7 linked regions of the Rattus norvegicus genome follow. The protein of the gene in region 6 interacts with the protein of the main gene of each other region in a biochemical or structural test. Links are inferred from orthologs where the notes say so. Each region holds a gene or a part of one and is shown on either strand. Other genes may lie near its edges.

Region 1 (3,927 bases), on a different chromosome or scaffold from region 6:
ATGCTCAAGCCAGGCCCAGTGTCACTCTCTCTTCCTGCTGCCTATACATCTAGATGTAGAACTTTCAGCCTCCTCTCCAGCACCATGTCTGTCTGCATTGCCACCATGGTTCCCACCTCTGAATTGTAAGGCAGCCCCAATCAAACTGCTGTGGTCATGGTCTCTCCTCATAGCAATAGACACCCCAACTAAGACAAACAATAAGTACAATGTCTTATGCTCAATCCCCCAAAGGGATTGGGGCGAAGGTGGAGATCTTTCAAGAAAGATTGGTTAGTAAGGTGACTCATTCAGTTAAGTCATTTTGGGTAAAGCACACCCAAGTTGGTTATCAACAAGTATATGGATGGCCTAAAATATGAATGGAGGGTTGGGGATTTAGCTCAGTGGTAGAGCGCTTGCCTAGCAAGCGCAAGGCCCTGGGTTTGGTCCCCAGCTCCGAAAAAAAAAAAAGAAAAAAGGAAAAAAAAATATGAATGGAACTTAGCCCAAGCCTTCTCAGGGTCCAAAGCTTACAGTCTACTTGTCAAGACACAGGATGGTTGAAGTAATATGTGACTATGTGCTAAAAACAAAGGGCGTAAGTTGGGCAGTGGTGGTGTACCTCTTTAATCCCAATACTCCAGAGGCAGAGGCAGGTGGATCTCTGAGTTTGAGGTTAGCCTGGTCTACAGAGTGAGTTCCAGAACAGCTAGGGCACACAGAGAAACTGTCTTAAAAAAAAAAAAAAAAAGCAAACCAAACAACAACAAAAAAGCATACAGATAGATATATAGCTATGTATATATATATATACACATATATCTCATAACTGTATTGAGAGAGGAGATTCTACTGTGGGCTGGTTTTTCAGAAACTGCAAAAGAAGATGGGCTGTGGCAGGAAGGATGGCAGGATCCTGAAAATGCTGACAAAAACTCTGCAGGCAGCCTTTTAGTTTGAGAAATTCGCTCACATCCATACTCATGTCTTCTTTCCTCCTGCCTCTGGGCGTGAATCACCACACCTAACCTCAAACTCATTTGATTCCTTCAAGAAAACTAGTAAGAAGCCCAACATACCCTGGATGTACAGGCGGGGAAAGTGAGGATGAAAAGACTCGAGCAGCTGGGTCAGAACCCAAGTGTTCTTCTGACTTCTCGCCCTGCAGTGGGTATAGTGTGGGGAAGAAGGGAAACAATAGCTCTTTGGCACATGGAAAGATAGGCTAGGTCAAGCTGGTCCCGAAAGCCAACCAAAGATTTAACTCAATTCCCTCCAGCCACAGAAGGGTTTCTAACATTTCAGAGGAAGCGTATTAAGTGACTGAAAGACTAACCATTAGTTAGGAAAGAGTTTTACAACGGACCAAGTGAGAGACTATGAAGACATGAATTAGAATTACCGAACAACTTAAGTGTTGTAAAATTTGACTTTTAAACTTTACCAAGAATTTTGTAACACCCATTGCCCCTCCCCCTCCAAACAGGTTTCCGGTTTATAAATCAGTTTCAGGGAGTCAAAACTTCTAACCAATAAATCTCAGGATTAGCAACTAAAACCCAAAGGGCACAGCTGACCAACAAGTAACGTCATTTCCTCCGTTAACAACTATTAATATTATCAGAAGTTTTTAACAAGCTTAGTAGGTTAAATTTGGAACTGTCAATAGTATAGCAGGAATCTCGCGTTCGCAAATTCCCTTTAGGGGGTGGGGGAAGAATGCCTTTTATGCACTTCAGTTTACTGAAGCTTCCAAAGGCTTTTCGATTTTCTATTCAGAAGCCGCAGGATACTGTCAACTGAAGGGAGACTTATTTCCACATTAAAGCCTTAACTAACCTCCACGAAGCAAAGATCCAATCAACATCGGCAGATTAATTGAGGCCAGGCCTAAGGTGCAAGAACGCCCTATATCCTAGGCAACTCCAACACGAGTCGAAGTTCTCATCAGTTGGAAATCGTTTGGGAGAAAAGCCTATCAGCAACTAACCTTCTCCTGCTTTTCCAGCCCCGACTTCGCTCAAAGTCCTCACGGGGACGTTTTCCCAAAAAGTACACCGCAGTGCCACTTCTCGAAGATGACAAGCGCCCTGCCATGTTAGCCTCCTCCCAGGACCCAGACTAAGAAATGGGGGCGCTCGGGGAAGTTTCCCCGAGGCCCGATCCGAGCCGGAAGAGGCGTTTTCGGGAGTGAGTACTGCTGTGGCAGGCGCCAGCCTTACTCACCGCGACCGGGCGGCCGTGCTCCGGGCCGTCCGCTGAGTCCAGGCGCGCAGCCGCTGGGGCCGGGGCGGGGGCCGGAGCGGCTGCCGGGGCCGTGGCGGCGGCGGGCGGCTGCCGGTGCTTGCCGGCGCGCTTGGCCTTGGCCTGGATGCAGCGCTGGTGCAGGGCAAAGGTATGCTGGCGTTCGAGCTCCAGGCGCTCGGGAGACACAGCCTCGTAGCGGGCCTCACAGGTGCTGTGGTGGCGCCGGCACAGCTCGATGCGTCGGCGGAGGCGCTCCATGACCGCGCTGTGCCGCGGCAGCGCGAACTCCGCCATGGGGCAGGTGGGTAGCACCATGGGCCGCGGGCGGCGCTGGCCCGGCCCGGGCCTCCCGGCGCCGGCTGGCACTTCGGGTTCCTCCGCTTTTGGCGGCCCGGATCCGCCTCACGGCCGCGCCATGTCCGGGTGGGCTGTGGAGCAGACTCGGGCGCGGTGGCGGGTCTTCCTCCGGTCCCGCTCGGCCCGATTCCAGGCCAGCGAACACCGCCCGCCTCAGGCTTCGGCCTGTCCGCTATACCCCTGCCCCATTGTTTTCCGCGCCGCTGCCGCCGCCATCTTAAAATTGTTTTCGGGGCTTTCGGAAGAGGGCGGGGCCTGGGCCGGCGAACTCTGCGTCACTGCTGATGGACCCGAGCTATAGCCAATCAAACCAAACCCGCTGCCGGAGGGCGTGGGGGGAAAAGCACGTCAGGAATCTTCGGGTATTTAAACTGAACACTCAGGCTAGGAGGGAAGCCCCGAGGCGGGCTCAGCGTAGCAGAGTGTACTGTGACTGACAGGAACCTATCCAAGAGGAGCCACGTTTTCAGAACACCGCCCCCTTGAAGGCAGTCCCTTCCGGGTTCGTGAGGAACGCGGGGTAAGTAAGTGAGCCTTAAGACTCAGATGCTCAATGCTATCTTTTTAGTCTATCCAGAATATTTCGAAGCCAGCCATTTCTGACCTCATTCCTTACATACAGCCCTGTAATTGATCAGAATTGTTTTGAGCTTCAGTGACCTAGTAGAGATAGGAATCACTAATTGATCAGAATTGTTTTGAGCTTCAGTGACCTAGTAGAGATAGGAATCACTGACAGGTACTGTGAGCAATATCTCATTACTTAAAGTGGGGGGTGGGGTGGAGAGCACTAAATGGTCTTTAGCCTCCTATTGGGAACTAGAGTTATTTAGATCCACAGGAACATACACTTAAAACCGACTGATTTATAAAACTAAATCACTCAAAATTCAATCCAAAGCACTGGGTTCCAGAGATGTCACTAGCAAGCAATTGAGTGAAGGTAAAAAGCCAGGAAAGGACCAAAACATATTCTAGATGGTTACTGAGGAGCAAACTGCCATAGATGATTGGGAGGCTTTGCACTTAAGACCTCATTAGCCAGTCAAACATGTTACCTCTTACTGGAGTTCACGAAAATTTTATTTTTAAAATCACAAGAAAAAAAGCTAACAGCAAAATGTTTTTATACAAATGCAGTAAAAATAAAAACAAAATAAAAACTCCCTTTGGTGAAGGGAGTTGCAAAGATAAATGAGCACTGCTTCTTACCGGTACCCAAACATTACAATTAGCACTCAAGCTAAGTGTAAACAACTTTTGTGTGCAGTGCTGGAAGGCTGAATCCAGGGCCTCATGCATATAGTGCCACTACTACTAAGTACACCCAGCCATTAAACT
Region 2 (4,179 bases), on a different chromosome or scaffold from region 6:
TTATGGGGGGGGGGAGGGTTACTGCAATTCACACACAAAAAGTTAGTGAGTAGTAAGGTCTACAAAGATAATTTCTTCCTTCCTGTTATGTGACACAGCAGAATCATATTCAAGGAAAAGTGTGACTAAATACAAACTTTCTACATTTAAAAGTGCATCTCACCGAAGACGGTGGCAATCATTAGCAACCTGTAGTACTCGCCTCACAAAGTAAGGGGCTACCTCCCTCCATTTTGTTCTTTTTAGGAAATAATGAGTAGTTTTAAACATGGACACAAAGTGACTTAAATAGAATAGAACTGCGTGGATAATGACTTCCTAAATATGCAGACTTTGATCGGGAACACTTTTCTGCACTTTGCCTGCTATGATTAATCTCATCAAAAGGCCAGAATCAAAGGACAGTATTGTTTAAAAGGCAATGAAAGTCAGCTTAAGGGCTAGCTAGGAGGTCTTAATTTGCTAACTTACCTGAACAATAATTAGAATCATCATATAAAACCCTGTCTACTCAGGACGTTTATAGAATTCTGCTCATGAGAGTATGATCTATGACACTTTGCCTTTATAAGGCACCACCTATTAAATTACACACACCTATTTACATATGACATCCGGAGAAGGAATGAACGAATGGACGTAAATACCTGGCGATCGACAGAAACACTTCTCAAGGTTTCAGTACTACATCGAAAACAAGAGTCTAAATTACATAATGATAAAATAAGCAGTTTGATGCTTTTAAATGACTTCAAATGGAATGGGAACTTTAAATGTATTTCATAAGTTTTCTCTTATATGGTCTTTATAACTGATACGGCTTCTAGGCTCCTTTAAACTATATTTTCACCTAGTAATTTCAAATAACCGAACTACAATTTAAATTATAGTCTAAATTACAATTTAAAATAGTCTCATTTAGTGCAACCCTTGACAAAAGATCAAAAAGCAAGAAGATAATGACACTACAAGTTTCAGATTTGTTTCTATGTTTGTTGGTTTTTTTTTTCTTTTTTTTTTCTTTTTCTGACAGTACTGAGAACTGAACCCAGGGCTTCACAGAAGCTGGGCAAGTCCAACCCAACTTCTAAATCTTTAAAACTTGCTATTTCTTTTAAAAGTTCCCCCTTTTAACTTTTGGAATCATTTCTATAACAGCACATAATATGTGTCCTTAGGCAAACTGCATTCGTATTAATTTTTAAAATCATAGCTGTCTTACAGTCCTTTAATAAATGATTTTTCTGTTGAAAAATTTCAAGCATTACAGTCGTGCACTCTATTAATAAAATCCTGTTAAGTAGACAAGGGCAGAGCTGTTTTAACAAAGCTTGCCACTCTATACATTTCATACAAAAATCTCTTTCGGATTACCAATGAATTAAACATTTAAAGCCTTTCCGTGCTTCTTAATCTGAACACGAGTTAAATTTACGAATTTACTAGAGTATCTGAAAGTCTGGGTTCATTTAAATGGGTAAAGAGAAAGTTGAAATATTTTAAACTACACTTGTTTTCTCATGAAAACCACAGACAAACTGAAATCAAGTGTCATGTGAAACACCCCAGTTTCCTTTACGGCCTACAGCAGGAGTTATGGCATTGCTCTGCTCAACTCTTAAAGCGGTCACTAAGCTTTCTACTTCCTCTTCTCTGCCAGACGTCGGCTGCCTTCTACTGTGGGTCATTGGGAAGATAAGGGTCAGAGTCCTGCTACAGACTGAAGGTGTCATTTTAGCTCCCACGATGGAAAGCACCCCACCACCACCTCAGCTGCTTGAAGCACCTGCTTTACAAATTGCAGGGCTGTCATACTAGACGCCCCTGTCCTGTAAACTGTTTCTTATAAATGTGTCCTCCTCAAAGCAGGCGATCCAATACTTACTAGTGGCATATAAACACTGACATCAAATGATGACATTTTCATCCCTACCAGTACCTAGTGAAAAAAATCCTCTCGCCCTCTTGCTGAATGTGGGCGCAGGTTTGGGGTTAGGGGTTGAGTGGATCGAGGTCTCTACACTATAAACTAGACAAGCATCTCCTTTAGTTCCTGGGAGCGGAGGTAATGCTTTCGCTTGGAACGAATTAAAACGCCACTGAGGACTTTTACAGCCACACCACATTCTGTACCAAGAGCCATCAGTAACTAGCAAGATTGGACTTAAAAAAGAAAGCTCGTCTGAGGTCCGGAGGTTCCTCTTTTTAGTTTAAAAATGTAAAACCGGGTCTCCATACCCACTCAGTCTTTAAACTCGAGAATTCTCTGCTCGCCTTTACTGAGATTACGCCCTGTGATCCTAAAAGCACGCGGCTGGGAATTTCGAAGGTTCTGGCTATTACCAGGAGATCAGATTACACTGCGCCGCTTTGATTTCACACGCAAACCCTGGAGCAGGTAACTTTTTAAACGGCTGACAATTTGCCAGATGAAAAGACTTGAAAGGCAGACCGTCCCAACCCCAAACCGAGCCCCCGACAGCTCCTTCCCTTGACCCGCAGGTGTTCGCCCCGGTACTCACTCGAGGCCATGGCTCCGCTTCGCGCGCCGCTCGCCGCAGCTTCCAGCGTCGGGCCAGAGGCTGCAAGCCAGCCAGCCAGTCAGTGAGTGAGTGAGTCAGCCAGCCAGCTAGCCCGTCAGTCAGCCAACTAGCCAGCCAGCCAGGGAGGAGGCCGAGCAGCCTCTGCAGCCGCGACCCCAGTCCTCCGACCACCCCCGGGCCTCCTCTTCTTTCCCGGCCCCTCTGGGTTTGCGGCTCACACCTTCCCACCCCCGAATCTTCGCGCTCCGGTCACTAGTGTCCTGGAGTCGCCCTGCCAGGATGCCGCGGCAGGGGCAGGGGGCGGAGCGGACCGCCCGGCGGAACGGGGGGGGATTTCCCGCTGCCTACGTCACCCGCGCCACCGCCTACCCGGGACGAGGGCGGAGCCTCGCGGCGGGCGCGCTTCCCGGCTCCGGCTAGTGCGCTCCGCTCCCGGCAGAGCCACGGCGGCCTGCGCGCTCGCGCGGGGAGCTCCCGGGGGCGCGCGGCGACGGCTCCGCGCGTGAGAAGCCGCTGGCCTCTGAGAAATCCCCCTCCTCCGGAGTCCTTAAAACCGAGGGGCGTGTCCGTGACGTTACGCTGGCCGAGTGGCCGGAGGCGGGCCGGGCGGTGCAGCCGGCTCGCTCCTTGGCCGCCAGAGGCCCGCCCGGGGTTTTCGACCGGTGGTTCCCCCTATTCCCTATTTCGCACATGCAAATCTCCGCCCCCGCGCCGGAGGGCGTGGCTTTGGAGGGGAAGTGCGGAAGCGCGGGCGCCCGCGTTCGGCTGTAAGGCACAGATTTGCATACGGGGACCCCCGCAGCCTTATTTTCCCTCTATATCTACATTACGTCTTTACCTAGCAGAGGTTTTCAGCTGCGCTGCGAGGCCGGTGCCCCATCCTGTATAAATGAACACGACGTCCAGAGATTGACCGAGATACCCACAGCCTGTGGCCTGGACCGAACTTTTAGTGCTTTGACAGGTCTGGCGGAATCTTATTCGCCTTCCCTTGCTAATAGGCACCTGTTCTCTTGGTCTATTAGCATTTCATTGCATACACGAGTATTGGAGTTGATTGGGGTTTGGAGGAGCAGAGGAGCTTTGTCGGTACTTTAGAGTTCTAGAAAGGAAACGCACGATTTAAGTTTAAGATTATCCAGTCCAGTTTAGCGCACTCCCAGCACGCGGGAGGCCGAGGCAGGTGGACTGTCTCAACAACAAAAATAACTCAGGCTTGTCTGGCTCCGCCTCTTGCGTTCTCTAGTCACTTACTAAAATAAGTAATGGACGGGAAATAGACTTGTATGGCCAACAAGGTGTCTTAGGGAGAAACCACTTGCCACCAAGCCTGACAGTCTGAGTTTGATCAGGGAAGGACCGAATCAACTTCCAAAAGTTGTCCTCTTAACTCTGCATGTGCCCAAACGCGTGCGCTTGAAAGGGCACCAAAGTGTGCGTGTGGGGGGAGGGGCGTTGGATATTTAAAATATATACTATTCTCTCATACCAAAAAGAAAAAATCCTGTTGTAGAACTCCCCCAAAGTGAAAGAAACTATTAAAATCTGCTAATTTCAAAGTGTCTTCACAAAGAGTATAAATAGAGTTGTCTTTTAGGTTGAACACAACCGTAGACAAGCCTCAAAGATTTAAATA
Region 3 (3,500 bases), on a different chromosome or scaffold from region 6:
AGACACGGCCACAGCCAACCTCAGTCCAGTAAACCAACCCAGAGTGAAAGCCACATCCAAATTAGAACACTCTAAAAGGAACACAGCTGGATCATTGCCCCGAAAGCAAAAGTTGCCCTGACTGGTCCTAGCGTGGCCAAGCACAGCTTCCCTGGATGCCCAGAGTGCTTGGCAGTGATTCACACATTATTTGCATGTAAATGAGGGGCTTCTAGAAACACTGGCACTCTGACAATGGAGCACATTCTATTTACTGCCTCAACTCCCTCTCTGCCCAGCCCAAAGCTCAAGGTATGTACAGAGCCCCCCTGCTGCTTCGCCTCACCCTCTGCCACCCCTACCCTTTAGGGACCCTGCTGGTGTGCCAGCCTTATGGGCTGGGAGGGCCAGGAGAGAGACAGTGTTGCTATTTCCGCTTTCAAAATAAATGACGGCACTGAGGCCCTGCAGAAGGGTCACAGGGTCCTCTGTGCCAAGAAAAACATCGTTAGGGAAGCTCCAGCCACTGATCATTCCCGGCAGGGATGTGGCAGAATCAGGGCCCAAGAGCCTGCTGTATGCCCACAATATGGAGAAGAGGGGAACATGGAACCACCCCTGCCTCCTGCCTGCCTCTGCTGACACCCGTGCCTACCTGGAATATTGCTCTGGGGTTCAATGCCAGCGGGGAAGTTAGTGTTCTCGGGGATGGAATGGCTGTAGTCATCCAGAGGGGGGAACTCGGCCGGGATCTCGGTGTGGCGTGGCACCAACACTGGAGGTAGCACTGTCCCCAAGGGAGACACAACAGAAACGGATCAGTGCTGGCACACTGAGGTCCCAGCCCCCAAGGGCTTCTGAGAACCTTCAGAGTAGGTAGCAGGGGGAGGGCAAGGCCCCTCTCACGTACCTGGTGTCTCTACTCTCTGATAGTGGTAAGGATTTACACACACTTCATCCTTCTTCATGTTGAAGGCGAACTCACAGAGCTCCATGGCCCGTAACTCATGGTGGCTGTGCAGGTCGGGCCACCGCCACAAGCGGCAGTAGATGACATGGGGGAGCCCCTTCCGATGGGATACCTGCAGCCGGCCATCCAGTGACCTGTCATGGCAAAGAAGGGACAGAAGGCGTCAGTTAAGTAGATTTGGATTGCTGTCTCCTAAGTCTAGCCCCCAGCAGCTCCTGAGGAGTTCAAGGTTGCTGGCAGACCCTTTCAAGTTCATTTCTCCCCCAGACACAGGGGACCAGGACATCTGAGCACCACTGTTAACTGTTCTTGCTGGACAGGGCCCCAGCTCCCAAAAGAAACAAGGAGGCCCACCAAGGAAGGCTGAGGCTTCCTAGGCTGGAAGAGAGGCACTGCACCTAGTAGGCCTCAGAGTTCTCAGAGTAGCAGCTCTGAAGGAAAGGGGACATTCTTGAAATAAGCTCAAGTAGATGTCACCAGTCTGGCCCTATAGAGGTGACCACTGGACAGGGTGGAAGCTGGGTACAAGACTACAAGAGGAGGACGAATGGCCAAGAGAGCTGACCTGGTGGGGAGTTCCACTTTTCTCTGAAAGCTGTAACTAGCCTCTGAGATGTTTATATGGACTGTGTACAGGTACCCATGTGAAAACAACAGGCCCTACGATAAGTCTGGCAGCGTGTGGCCCACGGGTTGGGAGGTAGTGGGGTGGCGAGCATGGAGTAAGAAAGGCAGGACTGCCCTTTCCACAAGAAGGTGTCCTTGGAGCCCCAGGTCAGGGGCATGATGTTTCTAGTAGCTGGGCCAAGCTAGCAGAGAGCCATTGCAAGCTGTCTCTCTGTCCCTAGGGCACCTATGAGTCTGAATTCAACAGATTTTATGAGTACTTTATAAGGGAGGGGCTGGCCAGATGTGTCAACCAGAGCCAACCAGGGTCCAAACAATCTCCAAGCCACTGGCTTGGAATGGCGAGGGGCAAAGGTCAGTGCTAGGCTTGGTCACAGGGACTGAGAGCTGCTGACTAAGGGTGTGTGGAAGGATGTAATTACCTCCCTCCCATGAGGCCCAGACCAAGGAGCCCCTACAGCTGAAAACAGTAATTACAGAGCCGAACAAGAGAGGACAGCCTGAAACCATTCCTTGAGGCACAGAAGGAAGGCAGCCAGATGTGAAATCAGAAGACCCGAAGATGTGGCTCTGCTCCTGACAAGCAACCCTGGGTACTAGGACCCTCAACTGCCCCATCTGTAAGATAGGGACAGTCTCCCCTCACCTGATCTCTACCAGAAAGCACTTTACAGAGCACTGACTGGGGAGTCCTCTCAGTGTTACTGGTGACTGCTGTCATCCTCTAAGCCAGCCTTTGGCAAGGGGGCTGGGTGCTGAGCTAGGGTTGAAGAAGTGGACCAAGAGAGTGGTTAGTAGTAGGCGGAGACAGAAAATCCTTCAGCTCCCCTCATGTTCTCCCAAAGCTACCGAATCCCCGGAAGATAAGGGAGATGGCCACACTGCCTCTTCAGGATATGACAGAAGCCCTAACACAAGGTTAGCTGATTGCTGCGGCCACCTCTCTGATGGGAAAGAGAGGGACAAGAGAGAAGTGGCCAGAGAAGGGCCACACCAGCAGTGAGGAAGAGTGGAGCTGGAGAGCCCCTCCGGCCTGGGCAGTGGGAAGAGCATTCTCTTGCTTTCAGAGTGAAGACGTCAGTGCTGAGGAGACGGCCCAGTTAGCAAAGTACCTGCGCTGTGAGTGTAAGAGCAGGAGTTCAGTCTCCAGAACCTGAGTGAAAAGAGCTGGCTTGGGTGGCACACTGAGGGGGTGGAAACAGTCAGATCTCTGCCTAGCCTCTGTGGTGAGACCAAGGCCAATGAGACCCTGTCCCAAAGGATACAAAGTGGACAGCACCTGAGGAACAGCAGCCAAGGCTGACTTCTGGCTGTCACAGGCATGCGAACATGTACCAAAGTCCTCCAAACTGACCAGCACACCAATGGGACCCAACAAAGGTAGTCAACAGTCACATGTGCATGGAACATTGACTTGTATCAAAGGTCCAAAGACGCACCAGCTGGGAAGGCTGAGCCTCCTGGAGATCCACACTAAGAAAAACGAACTTCAACCTGCATCTTACATCTCTGTGGAAACTGAGGGTCAAAGAACAAAACTCAAACCGGCGAGGGGCTCTGTGACCAGACAGTGATTTCTCAGCTGCCGCAGCAAAAGCACTATCCGTTAAAAGTCAAAGTTGATGTATCGATATACTGGAACTCAGGATAGAGACTTCTGATCGGTAGAAAGCTTGAACAAAAAGAGAGGGGGCAAGCCAGACAAGAAAACACTAGAACACATCTCACAGAGGTGCTTTCTAGGCTAAAGAATGCCAAAAGCAACTGTGAATCTCTTGATCAAATGCTATTTAAAACACTTAAAGATGGCCAAGATGTTCTATGTCGTTACTAGTAAGAAAAGTGTGGGTTAAAACTACACAGAGGGACAGGAGAGATGTCTCAGCAGTTAAAAGCACTTGCCATTCTTACAGAAGACCTCAGT
Region 4 (4,282 bases), on a different chromosome or scaffold from region 6:
CTACCCCGACCGACCAGCTCTTACAGTCAAGCATCTACTCCTCTCAAAGTGCAGTGGCCCCTTCTAAAGCTTACTGGCCACTCAGGCAGCAAAGGCTCGGTCTGTCTTCACCTCCCCCCCCCCCAAAAGCCCGCGCTTGTTCTTGGTGCCAACGAGGAAAAAAAATTTAATACATAAATCATTATCACATTAAGAAATCAGAAGAATGGAGCAAAACAACTAAAAAGATATATGATATAACCTATTTTTCTAAGAACTAATTTCTAAAATCAAGTTATAGTTCTCAAGAGCATCTTCACAGTGCCGTCCGAAAATACCCCAAAACATTACCTTTATCCTTAAAGCAAGGCACTCCCACAAACTCAGGTAGGTTGTGTCCCTTTCCAAGAACATAAAAGAATGGTGTTAAGTACACACTGTACTTTGGGTGCCCAGAGGGTTTAGGGTTTTTTGTTTGGATGTTTTGTTTGCAATGGCAAATGTTCTATGTAACAGCTGAAGCCCCATAAACAAGTAAAGCAGTCAGGTACTTAAAGTCAAATGTTAAGTAAAATTAGATTTTAAAGACAACCACTATTTTGTGAATTCTTAGAATATGAAAAATAGGTAATTTGCTTTTTGGAACACTTGGTAATATTACACAAGGATAAGGTGTTGTATATATCTTTAAAACACTGTGGCAAAAATAAAACAACCCCTGGCTCTTTCTGCAAGAACTTTCTATGAGGTGAGTAAGTTGACCTTTAAGATACTTTAACCACAGGGATGACAGAGTATGTGAAACCACCTCGCTCTAACAAGCATGCAGTGAAGGCTAATCTCTGTTCTGCTATACAGCAGAGACCAGGTGGGAGAAAAGCTATGTCCCACCTGTGACTGAGAAACTGTCAGCCAGGGGTGGCCACACCTCGAGAGGGACTTCTAGGTAAGATTCTCTCCTCCCAAAATGCCCTAGGCCCTTATACCACCCCCAAACCCCTAAGGTAGAGATGCCACAGTCCACACTGAGTCGCCTCAGTCTCTCCCTGCCACCTTTGGAAAGGTAAACAAACAACAATCTTAAACACCTAATTTATAGGTCTGCAATCCTCCTTCAAGGCAGGTGTCTTTGGCAATTCCCCAGTGAGCACCCCACTTAAGACTTCCACCAAATACTCACTCACAGCTCCCAGCCTTACCAGGTCGTGGGTAGCCCCAAGCTTTATGGGAAGAGAAATCACTCCACAACACTCATGCACAATTTGGTCACACACAACAGCGACTCGGCTTTCAATTAAAAGCATACCTCCCCAAGCCAGCCCAATTGTGGAAGCCCTTCTCTGAGCGCAAAAGTGTGGCCTCCCAGCCTGGAGGCACTGGCCCTTTAAAGGTTCTGGCTTCCTGTACACCCGGTCCCTCCCCTCCTCGCCTGCTCCCGCCCCGGCCAAGGGTCACACTTGAACTTTAGGTTGCCCAGAGCCTAAAAACCTTAGCCACCCACTTGCGCGCGCGTCAGAAACCGTACCCAGCAAGTGGGAACGCTCGATTCAGGCCACTTTGGATAAAAAAACCAAATTTGCCCCGGCCTCGGGGAACCTTCGGCAACTGCTGGCCCGCACAGCGCTCAGCACGCTGCGCGTTTAGCTAACCCATCAGCTGCGGGAGCCCCGCGTGTGCGTGGGGAATGTTTCCAGTGCTCCCGTCACCTCTGCTGTCGGGTCCGAGGGAACCTCGTCGGCCAAGGGTCGGGAGAGTGGGTGCGCATGTGGGCGGAGGAGTCGCCCCGACCCCTCGCAGGTCCGGAGTGTCAAGTGGCGAACCCTTCGAAGCCAGCCCCTCTACTCCAACAACTAGCCAACTTCCAAGCCTGCTCTGGCATTTCACTTAAGTTCTCAAACAAGCCCTCCCGGGGTCCCTCTAGAACTCCCTCGCCTGCACTTCGTCCAAATTTGGCTCCAGGTCTCGGGGAAGCCCCCGCCACACCTGCCATTTCTCGCCCGCTCTCTCCGTGCGCCCATCATTTCCGGGCCCGGAACACCCACACGGCCGACCCTCGGCGGGCCCCAACAAATCCACCCCCCCGGGCCGCCCCGAGGCCGTTCACCTTCCAGCCCGCCGAGCTGTTGCTGTCGCCCTTATCCTTGAAGTAGGGCACACTCTTCACCATCCACTCGTAGATCTGCGACAGGGTGAGCCTCTTCTCCGCCGAGCTCTCGATGGCCTTGGTGATGAGGTCGGCGTACGACAGGTTGCCCCACGCGTTGCGGCGCGACGAACTGGTCTTGCGCGGCTGCCCAGCGAGTGGCCCCGCGGCGGCTGGAGGCACCGGTGGGGGCTGCGACAGCGGCCCGGTCGGTGGGGGCTGCGGCGGCGCCGAGTGCACGCAGCCCGCCTCCGGGCCCTGGAAGTCCCCGCACAGGCCCCTACTGGCGGCAGCTGCGGCCGCCACGGCCACGCAACCCGGTGCCCGCGCGAAGTCCTCGCTCTCTTCTAGCAGGCTCAGGTTGCTCATAAAGTCGGTGCTGACAGCGGACGCCGAGGCCAGGCTCGCCGTGGCGTCGGGGTTGGCGGCCGTGCTGCCCGACGGCGCCGGGCTGGAGGTGGTCGAGTTGGACTGGTTAAACTCCGGCCTGGGCAGCGGCCAGGTGCAGGAGCGCTGCCGAGGCAGCGGCTCGAAGTCCGGGTCGGTCTCCACCACCTGAGGCGCTTCGGCCATGGTGCCCCCCGCCCCTCCCCCACCAGCAGAGAGTACCAGGAGACGCGGCCACCGGGGGCGCGGAGCCGGCGCTCGGAGTGTCGCTCCGAGATTGGGGGCCGCGGACGGCGGACGCACGCCGGAGCGAGGAGCGGCGCAGCGGACGGACGCGCCCAGAACTTAACTTCGCTGGGTCACCGGTGTCGGGGATCCTCCGAGTTCGTGCCTCGGACGGGGCAAGGACCAGGCCGCGGAGCCCGGCAGCTCGGGCACCACGCTCCTGATGACAGGGCCGCGGACGCAAGGGCAGACCGGCGGACGCCGCGGGCCGCTCTCTCTCCCCCGCGGCCGCGCGACAGCGGCGCTACTGCCTGTTGAATGTGGCGGCGGCGGGGACTGCAGCGACTCCGCAGCCTCCCGTCTTACGGGATCTGCAGCGGCTCCCCGCCCGCGGCGGCGCGCGCGCCGCCCCGCCCTTGACTGACAGGCTGCGCGACCAATGGACGCGCCAAGTCTCTGCCTAGACAACCAATGAACGCGGGCCTGGGAGGGAGCTCCTTTCCCTCGGGAGGCGGCAGTAGGTTGGTGGGGGGCAGCGGGGTGTTTTTCTTTCTCACACACTTTTTTTTTCTAATCTCCGTTATTATTTTCTGTAATTCTCAAGTGTTTCTGAGTCTCTGGCGCCTCAGTGTTCGGATTGCTAGGAGGCAAACCGGCGTGGAGGCGGCGACCATACTTTTGTTTACTACGGAGTGCAATCGAGTACTCCAGGCAGTGCCCAGACCCCGACTCCCGGGATGGCGCGGAGCCGCTGCGCGCTCCCGGACGCGACGTGGGCGGTGGGGCGCCTCGTGGATTCCACTCAGCCCGCTCCGCCCACGCGTCTTCGCGGAGCTCTCGGGAAGTCGGTGGGGTTTGTTTTGGAGAAATGTTTTCTTAAGCTGGCATCTGCCCGGGCCGCCCCAGGCACGAAGATCCTACGGTGAAGATCCGTCGCTCTGCGGCTCCGGATTCCCCTTCCCACCCTACCTGTGCACACCTGCAAGCCGAGCCTCCGCGGTTCTCCAGCCCCAGCCCCAGCCCCCAGCCTCCAGTCATCCTGAACCCAAAAGAGGTGCGGCGCGGGGAGAAGACTGTTGCACAAGCACCTAGATCCAGTAGCGCCTCAGATCTGAAGTCTTCTATGGAACCTCTTTCCTGTTACGAGAATCTCACTTTTTCCTGAGGACCAGAGTGGTGGCTAAAGGGTCAGAGGAGAGTGTTTAGAGACAATCTTGTCACTTTATTGCCCCTAATTAAATTTAACTGGTTGCTTACTTCTTTTTTATTGAGAATGGAAGCGATGAGGTGTTGAAGTCGCAAAAGGAGATAAGCCACAATTGTTGGGGCACAGCTCGTCTCTCCAGTTCTTTAAGTTCCCAAACCCGGGTATCTAATATAGGTTCAGCAGAGCCAGAGGTAGAAAGACAATGATCCTTTTTGCCTTTATAGAGTTGAAGAAAATATTTCCTCGCTTGATTTTTCTGATTTGCTTTCTCTTTTAAAAAGAAGTATGGGTGGCATTTTCTTTTAATGACTAGGGACACCTTAGAATTGAAGATGCATATC
Region 5 (4,069 bases), on a different chromosome or scaffold from region 6:
AGACACACTCCTTCAGATAAGTCCGTACCTTCTGCTGGTTTTTTTTTCTTTCCTTCTTTAAGTTAGCATATGCCGCTCCATGTCTCCATGGAAACGGAACAGGGAATCTGTCTTCTATTTAGGGAGTTCCTCCTTGACCTGGGTTCTCTGGTCCAGACCTGAATTCACACGGAGAAGCCCTGAGGAAATATCAATCCCCTGTGAACCTAGCTGTTTTAGCTTAGTGGATTGGGCCTTGACTCCTGCAAAGGTGATACACTAGAGAGAAGTATCAAATGCAACAGTATCTTGATTGGCAACAACTTCAGAAGGGGAGTTGCCATGGAAACCAGGAACCCTGAGTACAAGGGAAGGTGGGACCTTCTACTCCCTTCCCAGCAAGTCTGTCCTTGTACCAATCGTCGGTCCCGCGGCCTTGACTAAGCCTGCCATTTGCAATTTCCTACAAATCTCGGGTATCGATCTAAACTCAAGGAGGAACGCAATAATATTGAACGTACACCTATGCCTCCGGACCAATCACATAGGTTTCCAATCATGGACTCGGCGCCTTCTCACCAAAAAGGAAACCACCCTCTGGCTGGTGTTTTGACCATGAGTTTGGGAGAGTCACGTTGGACTTGGCATGTTGTTGACCTGGCAGACCATGTTAAGTAAAACACCAGTGCTTTGAAGCATTAGTAAGACTAATAATAGATGGCGCCGGAGTGCTCAGCTAGGTTGGCGCTAAGACTCGGCTCAGCCCTAGGGGGCGCTATCCACACCTAGGTAGTAGGAGGGGCCTCCCAAGACTCAAGCGGCTGCGCCACGTTCTGCTCTTCCACTCGCGACTCCGCCACCCGCCCACTTTGTGCCTCCCTAACCCCACGTAAGAGTCTTTTCACGTCGGAGGGACCAGAAATCAGGACCCACACGTAGCTCCAAACACAGGACCGGTTCTACCGCAGAAGCCTAACCACTCAATCCAAGTGCCACCAGGGCCCCCAGCTTGGACCTGCAGACGGCCGTGCGCCAGGGAGACGCGGGCGGACACGGCCCTGCCCTTCTAGCTGAACCTCCTGGGCACAAGGCCCAAGCTGGGCCTTAGGAGCAGGGGCCAGCAGGCAGGCGACAGCCGGCTGCAGGGGCGCAGGGAAGGGCCCGGGAGCAGCGTGGATCCGCCGCTGCGGGAGCACACTCTCCTCCCACGCCGGCCTCGCGCTTGCTCCTCCTCCGCGCTCCCTCCGTCACCCCTGCTGTCCCCTCCCCCGGTCCCCTCCGGCCCTCCCCCAGCTCCAGAAGAGCGCGCGGCCAGGGGATCGGGCTGGTTACTTCCTCCACCGCGGTGCTGAGCACGGAGTGGACACCACTAAGGCCCGCCAGTCCCTGCCACCGTCTCCGACCCCGCGCGCCCGTATCGGCCCTACGCCTTCGTCTCGCTGGGCCTTGCCGGCCGGGACCGCCGCGATCTCCTCTCCCCGCCGCCCTCCGGCTGGCCCTGCTTGCTGCGGCGCGGTAAGAGCGGCCCCCGTGCGCGACGTTCCTCGGGAGGGACTCCGCCCGGGGTGGGGTGCAGTGCGGGCGGCCCCTGCTCCCGCCGGTTGATCGCGCGCCCCGGAGCCTCTCCAGCTGGTTCCTAGGCACCCAGTGGCCTCAGCCGGGGATCCGGGAACCGGGCCGGGAGCGGGCAGCCCGCTTTTGTTTTAGGGAAGCCAGTGGTCGCTCTGTGCGGTTCCTGCCTGGGGCGCGGGTCTGTGTTTCTCCAGGGGGCTTGAGACACCTGGAGAGATGGCCGAAGTAGCCCCAGGTTTGGGGTGACTTGAGTGGGAGAGGAGCTAGGCCTGGGAGGATGTGGGGGTGTCCGACGCCTGAAACACCTGGGAAGTTGCGGCTCCCGGGAACATGTCACCTGCTCGGCCAGCTCTCGGTTCCCCTGGACCCTGGGAAGCCAGTACGGGACACGTCCAAGTAGGGGTGCGCGTGGCTGTTCTGCTTTTATTTTCCCCGTAGAACATATGAATGAAGGGGTAACCCGAAGCGTTTGCATATTTGACCTTTTTTTTTGGTTTTAATTTATTATTTAATCTCATAAGACTTGTACTAGCCTGCACTCAATTTCAGGGGAGCCTAAAATAGTAGTTGACTCGCTACTAATTTAGAAAGTAAAGCAGTGTGCAGTCCTGGTTGGAGACAGGAGTCATTTACTGTTGAGAGAGAGACTTACTCCCTGCTGTGAAAGCTCCTGCGCCCTTATCAGTCTGCCCACAACGCCAATCGGGAGATACATCTCCGTGTTAAGCTTTTATTAAAATCTGAGTAATCTTGCAGTACAGTTAATGTGAACACCGCGCATCCCACAGGGAAATAGTCAAACTCTCATATATGGAATTAGTCATTCATCTCTCTAAACTGATCGCTAAGCGAAAAGCAAACCAACCTTCAAAAGGTTTTTTTTTCTTTTATTTTTTTTAACCTAAATTTTACCTAAATACAAACCTATGCTCTTTTATGTAAGTGATTACCTGTTCCAATAAGGATACAGTTATCCGGGAAATTCTTGTTTCAAAACTTAACTATTCTCAGCCATTACATTTCTGCCATTTTCTTCCATTTCTTGTACACCCCCCCCCCAACCAAAGTACCAAAAAGCTCTAAACTTGAAAATTGATTTATCTAGAGTCTTGACTTGTCCCAGGGGTTAGCAAGCACATCCAGTAGGATAAATGGACTTAAATTTGATTAGCCGCGTGTCTGCCTGAAGCCATTTAGTAGAGGGCTTTAATTCTACATGGTTTTTTACAAAACTCATTAAAAGCCAGGCAACAAAGGAACCCTGTTCTGTAGCCAGTAATTACAGCTCTTTATGTGGGAGTTTGAGCCTCCCTTTTCTGCTCCTGTTTGTACACAAAAGGCAGGGGAGCTCTATTCTAGATCTCCAAAGCTATTCTCTGCCTATCTCAGAAGCGAAGAATCACGGTGAAGTCCCCAAGTGTCTGCACATTGGGACCACAGAAAGCGCTATCCGACTGGCCCTGGAGGGAACATGTGGACACCTCTGTCTGTGTCGCTGGTTTTCTGAGGGTGGCTTGTGTTTAATCAACAGGTTACAGGGCTGACTTCATCTAAGTAGGCGACCTGAAGTTCTCAGTTGGCGGGCATTTCCTAGGGCTGAAGTGTGACAGAAAGGCCTGGTTTAATCATAATTGCACACTCTGCTTCAGTGGGCTGTGGTAGGCAAAGCCCACTCAGCCATGGCTAGGATTTAAGGCCCTACTGATCTGAGGTGAACCTCCATAGACACCCCCACAGGAATGTGACCCGGGCCAGTGACTCAGTATCATCGGGCCTCAGTTGTCTCGGAATAAGGTGATTTTCCTTTTGGAACCCGCGCTCAGGAGGATTGAGGACGTGGGACTTGGTCTTCCCATCAGGCATTCTGTCTAGCCTTCATCTGTGAGGAATATTGAACATTCAGTGAGTGTAGCTAAATAATATACCAAGGGAGAGCCTGAACAAATATGCCTTCTCTGGAGACTGCACAGGCCCTGCTGTGACCTTACCGGGAAGGTGGCTCCTTCAATTCGTCTCAGCTTTTCTGGACTATTCTAACCCAAATCTGCAATCAGAAGCCTCCCCCAGGATTCCTTTCTGCTCTCGATGCCTTCTATCAAGGTGTGAGTGTGCACATGTGTGCACTCACTCGCACATGCTGCACATGTCGGTATAGGCATGTGACTAGTATGTGTTAGTAGGGAATTGTTAAGCCATCTGCCATTGGCCATAATGTTGACTATAAAAAGACACAAGAAAGGGGAATCAAAGGAAGTTTAAGTAATTCTTTGAGGCTATGCTATCTGCTGCCTCTAGTGAGTTCTATCAATTGCATGCTAATTTTAGTGACAGTGTGTGGTTAGCAGGTGGGTGCGCATGAAGGAGAGCGGAGGGTGGGGGCGGGTGGGGGTGGGGCTGAGGTTTGCACACTCCACACCATGGAGCTATTGAAGGCTCCAGTTCTGTAGCTCAGAGCCTGGAAGACAGGAGCTGCCGTAGAGTGATGGTGTGTGGAAATGAGGTTCGGTGACTGGGTCCG
Region 6 (3,500 bases):
CCCAACCCCCACCATTAGCATTTCAATCAGTACTATACTTTCAAAATTGAGTGAGGCCATTGGGCTATTAGGAATGTTTTCTGACAGTGATACCCACTAGAAATACAGGAGGACTTGACTTCCATGCCAGGGGCATGGCTGACAGGACTGCATTAGGCATCTATCTAGCTTTGACTGTTATCATTTTGTTAGGAGTAGGCAGAGGAAGGAGCACATGGGGAAATGGTTTGAGTATTTGCACTTCCTCACCATTCTGTCTTTTCTAGTGTCAACAATTAAGTGATCAGTCTTCTCACAACTTAACTGCTGCTTAAGAAATTGCTTTATGAAGCTGGGCCCACATGGGGGATGATGCCTTTAATCCTAGTACTTGGGAGGCAGAGGCATCTCTGAGAGTGTACAAAGTGATAACTAGGGCTGCTACACAGAGAAACCACATCTTGAAAAGCAAAATAAACAAACATAAAATAAGAAACTGCTTGTGACTTCATCTTAGAATAGAGTTGAACTGTGATAAGAAAAAAATACATGGCCTGGGGAAGCACCTGAGCTCAGGAGCCTGGTACTAGGTATGATTAGACCAGGCCTCTAAGACTGTCCTCAGCTATACAGTGAATGGAGACCAGCCACGTTATAAAATGATCTCAGAAACAAAAAATTATTCCTTCCATTTCCAAACCTCTTAGAAAAGCATGTTAAGGGGCAGAGAACAGTGGCTCAGTGGGGTTAGGCATTGCTTTTTGTCACAAGTTGCTTTCGCAGAGGACCCAAGTTCCAGTCCCAATGCCTTCGTGGTGGCCATCTTCTACCCCAGCTGCAGAGGACTTGGTGTCCTCTTCTGGCACGGAAGCAGAGCACCCATTCACATAAAACTCAGTAAGTAAGTACAGCCATGTGAGCAGCTCTGTAATCAAGCTTTAATTTAGAAGGGGGTTTAAATATGGGAATATGATTATGAATGTCTGAGTCCGTCTTAAATCTAACATTAAGCACTATTACAAAATAATAGTGGGGCTCTAAGTAACATGAAACATTTGAAGAGTAAATCTGTAAAAATGTTGGCACATGCCTTTACTCTCAGAACTAGAAAGATAGAAGCAGGTAGATCTCTATGAATTCTAGGCCATACGGGAGTTACAAAATAGGACCCTGTCTTAAAAAAGTCAGAATTTTTGAAAATCTATCACTAGGATTAGACAAACCATGCTTACACTTTGAGACACAATGCAAATTTATAACAGCCTCATAGTCACACCATTTTCTCACAAGCAAACTCTATATGCATACTCTTTTCATCCTAGTCAACCCTCCTCCAGTCAAACCATTTCTTCCCTCCAAATTTCCAGCAACCTGGAGTGAGTTCTTACCCTGTCGGCTGGGGTGAGCAGCTTAGGAGCCCACCCTCCACAGCCTTCTACCCTGCAGCGCCTCACTCACCTCTTTATGCTTTTCCATGGTGGCGTACAGTTTCTGAGAAAGGTCATTAGACACGTTGGGCACGCCAGGCTTCTTCTTGTTGCCCCTGCTCAGGCTGCTCTTGTTTTTGCTGGTCTTCTTGTTATTCTTCTTCTTAGCATTTTTGCTATCGCCTTTTGTTACCTGTAGGGCAGCACAAAGGAGAAATGAAGATTGTTAAGACAGATCTGAAAATGACTCTGGGCTGATAATTTTTGTTGTTGTTGTTATTTCTGTAGCTGCTTATCACCCACTATTTCCTTTTAACGTTTCTCTCCTTTTTTTAAACGTACAAGCAAATGCTTAACTATTCTTTGTGTGTGTGTGTGTGTGTGTGTGTGTGTGTGTGTGTGTGTGTGTGTACAATTGATGAATGTATGCCATCTGTGCATAGGTCTTTTTGAGGCTCTCTGATTCCAAACTGGAGTTAGCTATGACCTTTTTCCTGTGGGTATAGGGAACACAGTTGAACTGGGTTCTCCTTGAATAACAGCAATAACTTTGGAGTACACAAAGTTGCCTTTCTAAATTGCTTCCCAAAGACCCCAAGTTTCATTATGTAGAATAAAGCTTGTAAACTTTTTCAGAAAAAGCCTCAATTTGCTTGGAAGTGGTGGCTCATGAATTTAATCCCAGCACTCAAGGGGCAGAGATTTCTGAGTTTGAGGCAAGCCTGGTCTATAGAATGATTTCCAGGATAGCCAGGACTACACAGAGAAACTGTCCCTAGAAAAGAAACAAGAAGAAAAGAACAAAAAACTACAAGAAAAAACAGACAGAAAAGCCCCAGTTTGCAGAAGCCATTGGCTCACGTGTCCAGATTAGAGATAAGACTTGAGTGAGGGGCACCATAGTTGGCAACCAAGAAAGAGGGACATCAGCAAGCTGCCACATAGGACCTACTCAGTCATGAAGTTAACCAAAAGTTAAAGCATTCTGGTAAATAGGGGGAGGGGGGGATGAGATTAGGGATGGGTGCTGCCACACTTGCTTTAAAACCTTTCACTCTTTTTTTTTTGGTGCTGGAGCCCAAACTTATTCATCTAGGACCCTTGTATGTATGCACATCATGGCACAGGCCTGTAGACGTCAAAGGACAGCTTATGGAAACTGGTTCTCTGCTTCAACCATGTGGGTTCAGGGAGTAAATTCTTTGTTTGGTGGTCAAGTGCCTGAGTCTTTTTATTCACTATACAGAAGTCTGGCCTTGGAACTCACACACATCTGCCTACTTCTGCTTCCTGAGTGCCGAAATAAAAAGGTGTGTGTAACCCGCTTAACCAGACTTTATTAAGTTGAAATCTAGAAAACAGTCTAAGTGTGCTCCAGTCAATAACTGATCAGGCTACTATGAAGGAGTCTCATTAACTGATCTAGGCTTGTGCCTGCCTGTGATTGCCAGCACTTCTGGGAAATACACTAGAGAGCATATGAAGTCAGCAAAGCCTGTAAGCAGCCATAATTTGGTCTATTAGATCCATTTTTTGGTATGGTTCTCCAGGAACTTTTATTACTCAATGTCAGGATACTACTTACAAACAGAGAAACCCTTAGTTCTGAGAATTTGCCTGCTATGCAGCCAAGGTTGACCTTGCATTATGAGGCCCTAAGGGCTGTGATTGAAACACATTATAGCTAGCAGAATTTAAATTGCCCTTTTACACCAAATCAAAGTGTAAACTCCTTTCTCTATTATCAATGAGATGTCAAGACAGACACTGCAGACAAAGTTCTTACATCGGTACTCTCGTTGCTGGTGTTTTCTTCCCGTTTCCTCTCTTCCTCTTCCTGTTCAAGTTCCTTGATGCTTTCTTCCAGAACATTGGGCCAGAAGTCACCTTCAAAGTAAGGTAATTCCTTTGCACTTGTTAATCGATCTTCAGTAGCTTGCTTTAAAATATCCTGTTTAAAAAAAAAAAAAAAGCCTATGTAAATATTAGGAATTTCTATGCTTTCTTTCTAAAAATTTTATTTACTTTTTGAAACAAGGTTTTCTGTGTAGCTCTGGCTATCGTGGAACTTACTATGTAGACAAGACTGGCCGG
Region 7 (4,266 bases), on a different chromosome or scaffold from region 6:
GAAGTTGTTTACAATGGGGCTTAGTGGTGGTTGAGAAGGATCAGAAGCAATAGGCAGGTCTGAGGACCCCTCATCTGGGAGGGGTCCCAAGGCCATGTGATCGAGTAATTCCAAGAGGTCTTCCTGGAGGAGGAAGGAGCTAGTCAACAGCTTCAGCTGAGCCAGAGGGTAGCAGATTGGTGGGAATGGAGGTCCAGGGGTAAGGGCTGGGGTGGGAAGAAGGTGAGGCCTAATGGATGGGGCAAGGCTGGGCACAAGACTAGTGTCTCCTCACCTGGTGATCAGACAGACTGCTTTTGCCATTGGTGTCAGGGGAGGTGTCCAGATGTACAAAGTCCCTTGCTCCTCCTGTCCAGAGTGGAAGTGAGCAGAGTAAGTGGCAGAGATCTTCCAGACCCCACGGTTCCTGTGACCCCCAAGCCAGCCTTGTTACACACACCTGGAGTCACAAACTCATACACTTTATGAGGGTCAAAAGGGTCCTTGCTCCGGTCCTCAGCTAATCGCAACACTTCTTTCCGGTTCAGGGCTGACCGGAAATTCCTCTTCCAGGTTGACAGGTCTGGCTTATCCTTCCCTGGGGTGTAGGCACCACTGGCTTCCGCCCAGGCCTGATACATCAGTGATTCCAGGACAGTAGGGAAGACTACTTAGACACCTCCCACCATATTCCATACATTTCTGGTTCCTGACCTAAGTTCTCACATTCATAGAGCCCCTAGGACTTCTGTCCCGACCTCATCCTTATCTATATTTTCCACACTTTAGAAAAATATTTTTGAATATGAGACAGGGTCTCACACATTATAACAAAGGTAGGCTCCAAGTTTCGACCCTCTAGCTGCCACTTCCAGAGTGCTGGGATTACAAACGTATGCCACACATCCACCTTCAAGCCTTTTGATTTTGGTTTGTTTTTTTTTTTTAGGTTTATTTATTATAGACGAGTACACGTAGCTGTCCTCAGATGTGCCAGAAAAGGGCATCAGATCTCATTACAGATGGTTGTGAGACACCATGTGGTTGCTGGGATCTGAACTCAGGACCTCTGGAAGAGCAGTCAGTGCTCCCAACCGCTGAGCCATCTCTCCAACCCAAGCCTTTTGTTTTTTAAGCCAGTATTCTAGGACCTACTTGGTACCTCACCCCACATTCTGTTACTACCATGCTGATCTGGTAGCTAATAACCCCATCCTGAGGGCTGTTCCAATTCTTAAGATTTAAGGGATCTAAAATCAAGAGCCCACCCCCCCCCCGAGATTTCCCATCCTCTAATAAAAGAGCTGTTCTCAACTATCCGAATACAGATCCTCATGATGTAGTGAGTCCCCAGCCCCAAATTTTTTTCATTGCTACTTCAAAACTGTAATTTTGCTGTTATAAATCTTTTTTTTTTTTTTTTTTTTCCGGAGCTGGGGACCGAACCCAGGGCCTTGCTAGGGCCTTGCTCCTGCTAGGCAAGCGCTCTACCACTGAGCTAAATCCCAACCCCAGCTGTTATAAATCTTAATGTGAATATCTGTTTTCCAATGAAAGGCCCGTTCAACCCCCAAAGGGGTTGCGTCCCACAGATTGAGAACCATTGCTCCAGAACAGTTTTTTAGAGACACAACCTGGCTTTCAGAATTCTATTCCTGGAATCTGCCAATCAATTCCGGGCTGTCCCTCCAAGTCTATCCCACCTAATTAGCAAGACCCAGCCCTGTCTAGTCACGCCCATAAATGCCTCTGAAGTCTCAACGCCCCCCCCCGCCCCCTCCCCCCCAGCACCTGGAAGATGCCAAAGTCAGCCATCTGTGCGTCCTGTCGTAAGCCATGCTTCCATGGGATCCTGAACTTTGTACGGCTCTCGTCCAGCCAGGCCACACCTTTCAGCTGTCCCAGGTCCAGCTGAGACACCAGCCAAGGCAAAATCAGCGGTTTCGGGGTTCCCATGATCCAGCCTGCGCATACAGTGCAGTTCCTGAGCCTGTATGTCAAGGGGCAAATGCACTCAAACCTCTCCGACCCGATACAGCACAGGCCTTCCTTCACCCTGTTTTCCTGTGTACAAACGGGAAACTCCTTCCCACCTTTCCAATTCCAACGGGACCGCCTATCCTACCCCACAGTTTTCCATAGGTTCTTTCCCTTTTCTAAATGTAAACCCCTATTACTCAAAGCAAGTACCCCATTTCCAGGGTGGAGTCCTCTTTCCCTGTCTTTAAAGAATCATGACTGTTCTCACACCCACCTCACCCTTGCAGAAAACCCTTACTCATTTCCAGAGTCTTCTCCCAGCTGCTGTCGCTTCTTCTGCTTTGTCTTTTCTACATTGTTTTTATGGATGTTTTGAGACAGGGTCTTAGTATGGAGCATAGGCTGTCCTCGAACTTGCTATGTAGCCATGATTGGTCTTCAACTCACTGTGTGGCCCAGGCTGGCCTCGAATGCACTCTGTAACCCAAGCTACCCTCAAACTTATTCAGTAGCTCAGGCTGGTCTTCAACTCGCTTAACCCATGCTGGTTTGGAGCTCATTCTGTGGTTCAGCCTGGCCTGGAGCTCACTGGCCTCGAACTTGCAGCAATCTTTACTGCCTCCAGTCTGGATGCTGAGACTGCAGGCTTCCGTCTACAACGCGTAACCATTCTGGTTTTCGGTAGCCGAGCTCCTGTGCCCTGAGGCCGCCACCCTCCCGGTTCTTCCGCGTTACCTACCAGGGGAGGAATTGCGCGCTCGTGGGGCGCGGGTGTCAGCACTGGTTTTGGGGCTCCCAAACAGTAGTTGAGACTCGCAGCCACGCAACCCCCTTCTTTGTCAACTAAGCTTCCGAGCGTTGGGACTTTCCTTTCTAATGGTATTTTGAGATAAAAAAAAAATTTCTCATCATTTACTTTAAGAAAAGTCAGAAAACCTAGGAGCACACTCCGACTGAACCGGCCTAACTCCCTCAATGCCCTTTTTTGGCCTTCCGCCTACAGGCATGCTGGGAACGCCATATGCAAATGATGCAACACAGCGCTCCGCCCCCTCGACGTTGGGGCGGTTACCGTGTCGGCCCAGTGCGCAGGCGCGGGAAAGTTGAACTTCGGAAGTAAAGTTTGTAGAAATTGAGTGAAAGCGTGTGTGCGCCAGTACGACTGAGGCAGAACCCCGATCCAGGTGAGCGGGGTACCAGGGAGGGAGCTAGGTTGCAGGAGAGGTCACAGCCAGTCCTGTCTCTCTGACTTCCAAGCACGGAGGTCTCCTGGTGCCCGCCAGAGGTCATTGGAACTACATCTCCCAGCAGGCTGCTCGGTGAAAAAGAGGGGAAACCCGGCTAGCGTTTGCCGCAAAGCGTACTAGGATTAGTAGTTCCCTATTCTCTAGGGTCTTCGAGACTCCTTCAGCACTCAGGGCTCCCTTCCTGCTCCTGCATGTAAGAGTCCAAGCACTCAGTTACGTCCTTTCTTTCTTTCTTTCTTTTTTTTTTTCTTTTTTTTCGGAGCTGGGGACCGAACCCAGGGCCTTGCGCTTGCTAGGCAAGCGCTCTACCACTGAGCTAAATCCCCAACCCCTACGTCCTTTCTTAGATTCAATAATTCAGGCCCTTTCTCCTCAACGGAATCAACTGCCCCACTGGCCCTTAAGCCACCTTTTCCTTGGAGTAAGGTGTCCTCTTCATTCAGTGATTGAATGAAGTTTGAGTTATCACTCCATTTGGGTACATTCTCTGTCTTCTGCTTCAGGTACCTCCATGGCCGGCTCTGAAGAGTTGGGTCTCCAAGAGGACACACTGAAGGTTCTGACTGCCTTCCTTAGGCGCGGTGAAACTGCTGGGTCCCCTGTCCCAACTCCACCCAGGTGAGATACTATTCCACTCCCCCAGGGCCAGCCTTTGATCAGAAGATCTTCCTGAGTCTAGTGGTCTACTCCCTTCATACCTAACCCCATATGTCTGTCCCAAGCTTCAAGAATCTTCCACGAGAGGACGAAGGGATTGTTTGCTCAGAACCCTCTGGGATAACTCTGAGGTTCTTGCCCCTAGGAGCCCTGCCCAAGAAGAGACAACAGATTTCCTGAGCCGACTCCGAAGATGCCTCCCTTGTCCCCTGGGGCGAGAAGCTCCTCCCCCTGAGTCCTCTAGGCCCTGCTTCCTTCCCCTCCGTCCCTGCTATGGTTCAGAGCCTGGTAAGAGATTTCTTCAGATCACTTGTGAAATTTGGAGGCTAGCAGCCTTGGTCCTGAAGAATCCAGACAGTACCCATTATAAAGTCAACACTGCTCAGCTTCAGTGCCGGCCATA

The links.
Region 1: the proteins of Ep300 (region 6) and Maml1 form a complex in vitro, tested with the Homo sapiens proteins (2 studies listed by BioGRID). The link is inferred for Rattus norvegicus from reciprocal best matches to the Homo sapiens genes EP300 and MAML1.
Region 2: the proteins of Ep300 (region 6) and Rel form a complex in vitro, tested with the Homo sapiens proteins (3 studies listed by BioGRID). The link is inferred for Rattus norvegicus from reciprocal best matches to the Homo sapiens genes EP300 and REL.
Region 3: the proteins of Ep300 (region 6) and Smad3 form a complex in vitro, tested with the Homo sapiens proteins (5 studies listed by BioGRID). The link is inferred for Rattus norvegicus from reciprocal best matches to the Homo sapiens genes EP300 and SMAD3.
Region 4: of the proteins of Ep300 (region 6) and Foxo1, one has a biochemical effect on the other in vitro, tested with the Homo sapiens proteins (3 studies listed by BioGRID, with this or other methods). The link is inferred for Rattus norvegicus from reciprocal best matches to the Homo sapiens genes EP300 and FOXO1.
Region 5: the proteins of Ep300 (region 6) and Ets2 form a complex in vitro, tested with the Homo sapiens proteins (2 studies listed by BioGRID, with this or other methods). The link is inferred for Rattus norvegicus from reciprocal best matches to the Homo sapiens genes EP300 and ETS2.
Region 7: the proteins of Ep300 (region 6) and Irf3 form a complex in vitro, tested with the Homo sapiens proteins (3 studies listed by BioGRID, with this or other methods). The link is inferred for Rattus norvegicus from reciprocal best matches to the Homo sapiens genes EP300 and IRF3.

The regions. Positions count from the first base shown.
Region 1 is NC_086028.1:35,121,301-35,125,227, forward strand, and holds the start of Maml1 (mastermind-like protein 1), read right to left. Parts: upstream 2,801-3,927; 5' UTR 2,545-2,800; coding exon 2,209-2,544; intron 1-2,208. UniProt on the Homo sapiens protein: Acts as a transcriptional coactivator for NOTCH proteins. Has been shown to amplify NOTCH-induced transcription of HES1. Enhances phosphorylation and proteolytic turnover of the NOTCH intracellular domain in the nucleus through interaction with CDK8.
Region 2 is NC_086032.1:101,919,139-101,923,317, forward strand, and holds the start of Rel (proto-oncogene c-Rel), read right to left. Parts: upstream 2,801-4,179; 5' UTR 2,533-2,800; coding exon 2,523-2,532; intron 1-2,522. UniProt on the Homo sapiens protein: Proto-oncogene that may play a role in differentiation and lymphopoiesis.
Region 3 is NC_086026.1:73,041,825-73,045,324, forward strand, and holds part of Smad3 (mothers against decapentaplegic homolog 3), read right to left. Parts: intron 1,084-3,500; coding exon 890-1,083; intron 767-889; coding exon 635-766; intron 276-634; exon of another isoform or gene 1-275. UniProt on the Homo sapiens protein: Receptor-regulated SMAD (R-SMAD) that is an intracellular signal transducer and transcriptional modulator activated by TGF-beta (transforming growth factor) and activin type 1 receptor kinases.
Region 4 is NC_086020.1:138,461,492-138,465,773, reverse strand, and holds the start of Foxo1 (forkhead box protein O1), read right to left. Parts: upstream 2,801-4,282; 5' UTR 2,696-2,800; coding exon 2,084-2,695; intron 1-2,083. UniProt on the Homo sapiens protein: Transcription factor that is the main target of insulin signaling and regulates metabolic homeostasis in response to oxidative stress.
Region 5 is NC_086029.1:48,489,788-48,493,856, forward strand, and holds the start of Ets2 (protein C-ets-2), read left to right. Parts: upstream 1-1,269; 5' UTR 1,270-1,494; intron 1,495-1,523; exon of another isoform or gene 1,524-1,881; coding exon of another isoform or gene 1,882-1,953; intron 1,954-4,069. UniProt on the Homo sapiens protein: Transcription factor activating transcription. Binds specifically the DNA GGAA/T core motif (Ets-binding site or EBS) in gene promoters and stimulates transcription.
Region 6 is NC_086025.1:115,050,357-115,053,856, reverse strand, and holds part of Ep300 (histone acetyltransferase p300), read right to left. Parts: intron 3,358-3,500; coding exon 3,193-3,357; intron 1,600-3,192; coding exon 1,438-1,599; intron 1-1,437. UniProt on the Homo sapiens protein: Functions as a histone acetyltransferase and regulates transcription via chromatin remodeling. Acetylates all four core histones in nucleosomes. Histone acetylation gives an epigenetic tag for transcriptional activation.
Region 7 is NC_086019.1:104,615,142-104,619,407, reverse strand, and holds the start of Irf3 (interferon regulatory factor 3), read right to left. Parts: upstream 2,801-4,266; 5' UTR 2,699-2,800; intron 2,397-2,698; exon of another isoform or gene 2,359-2,396; coding exon of another isoform or gene 2,258-2,358; intron 2,023-2,257; exon of another isoform or gene 1,970-2,022; coding exon of another isoform or gene 1,936-1,969; coding exon 1,771-1,935; intron 612-1,770; coding exon 440-611; intron 349-439; coding exon 275-348; intron 124-274; coding exon 1-123. Other genes in the region: Bcl2l12 (bcl-2-like protein 12), read left to right, coding at 3,718-3,824, 4,009-4,151.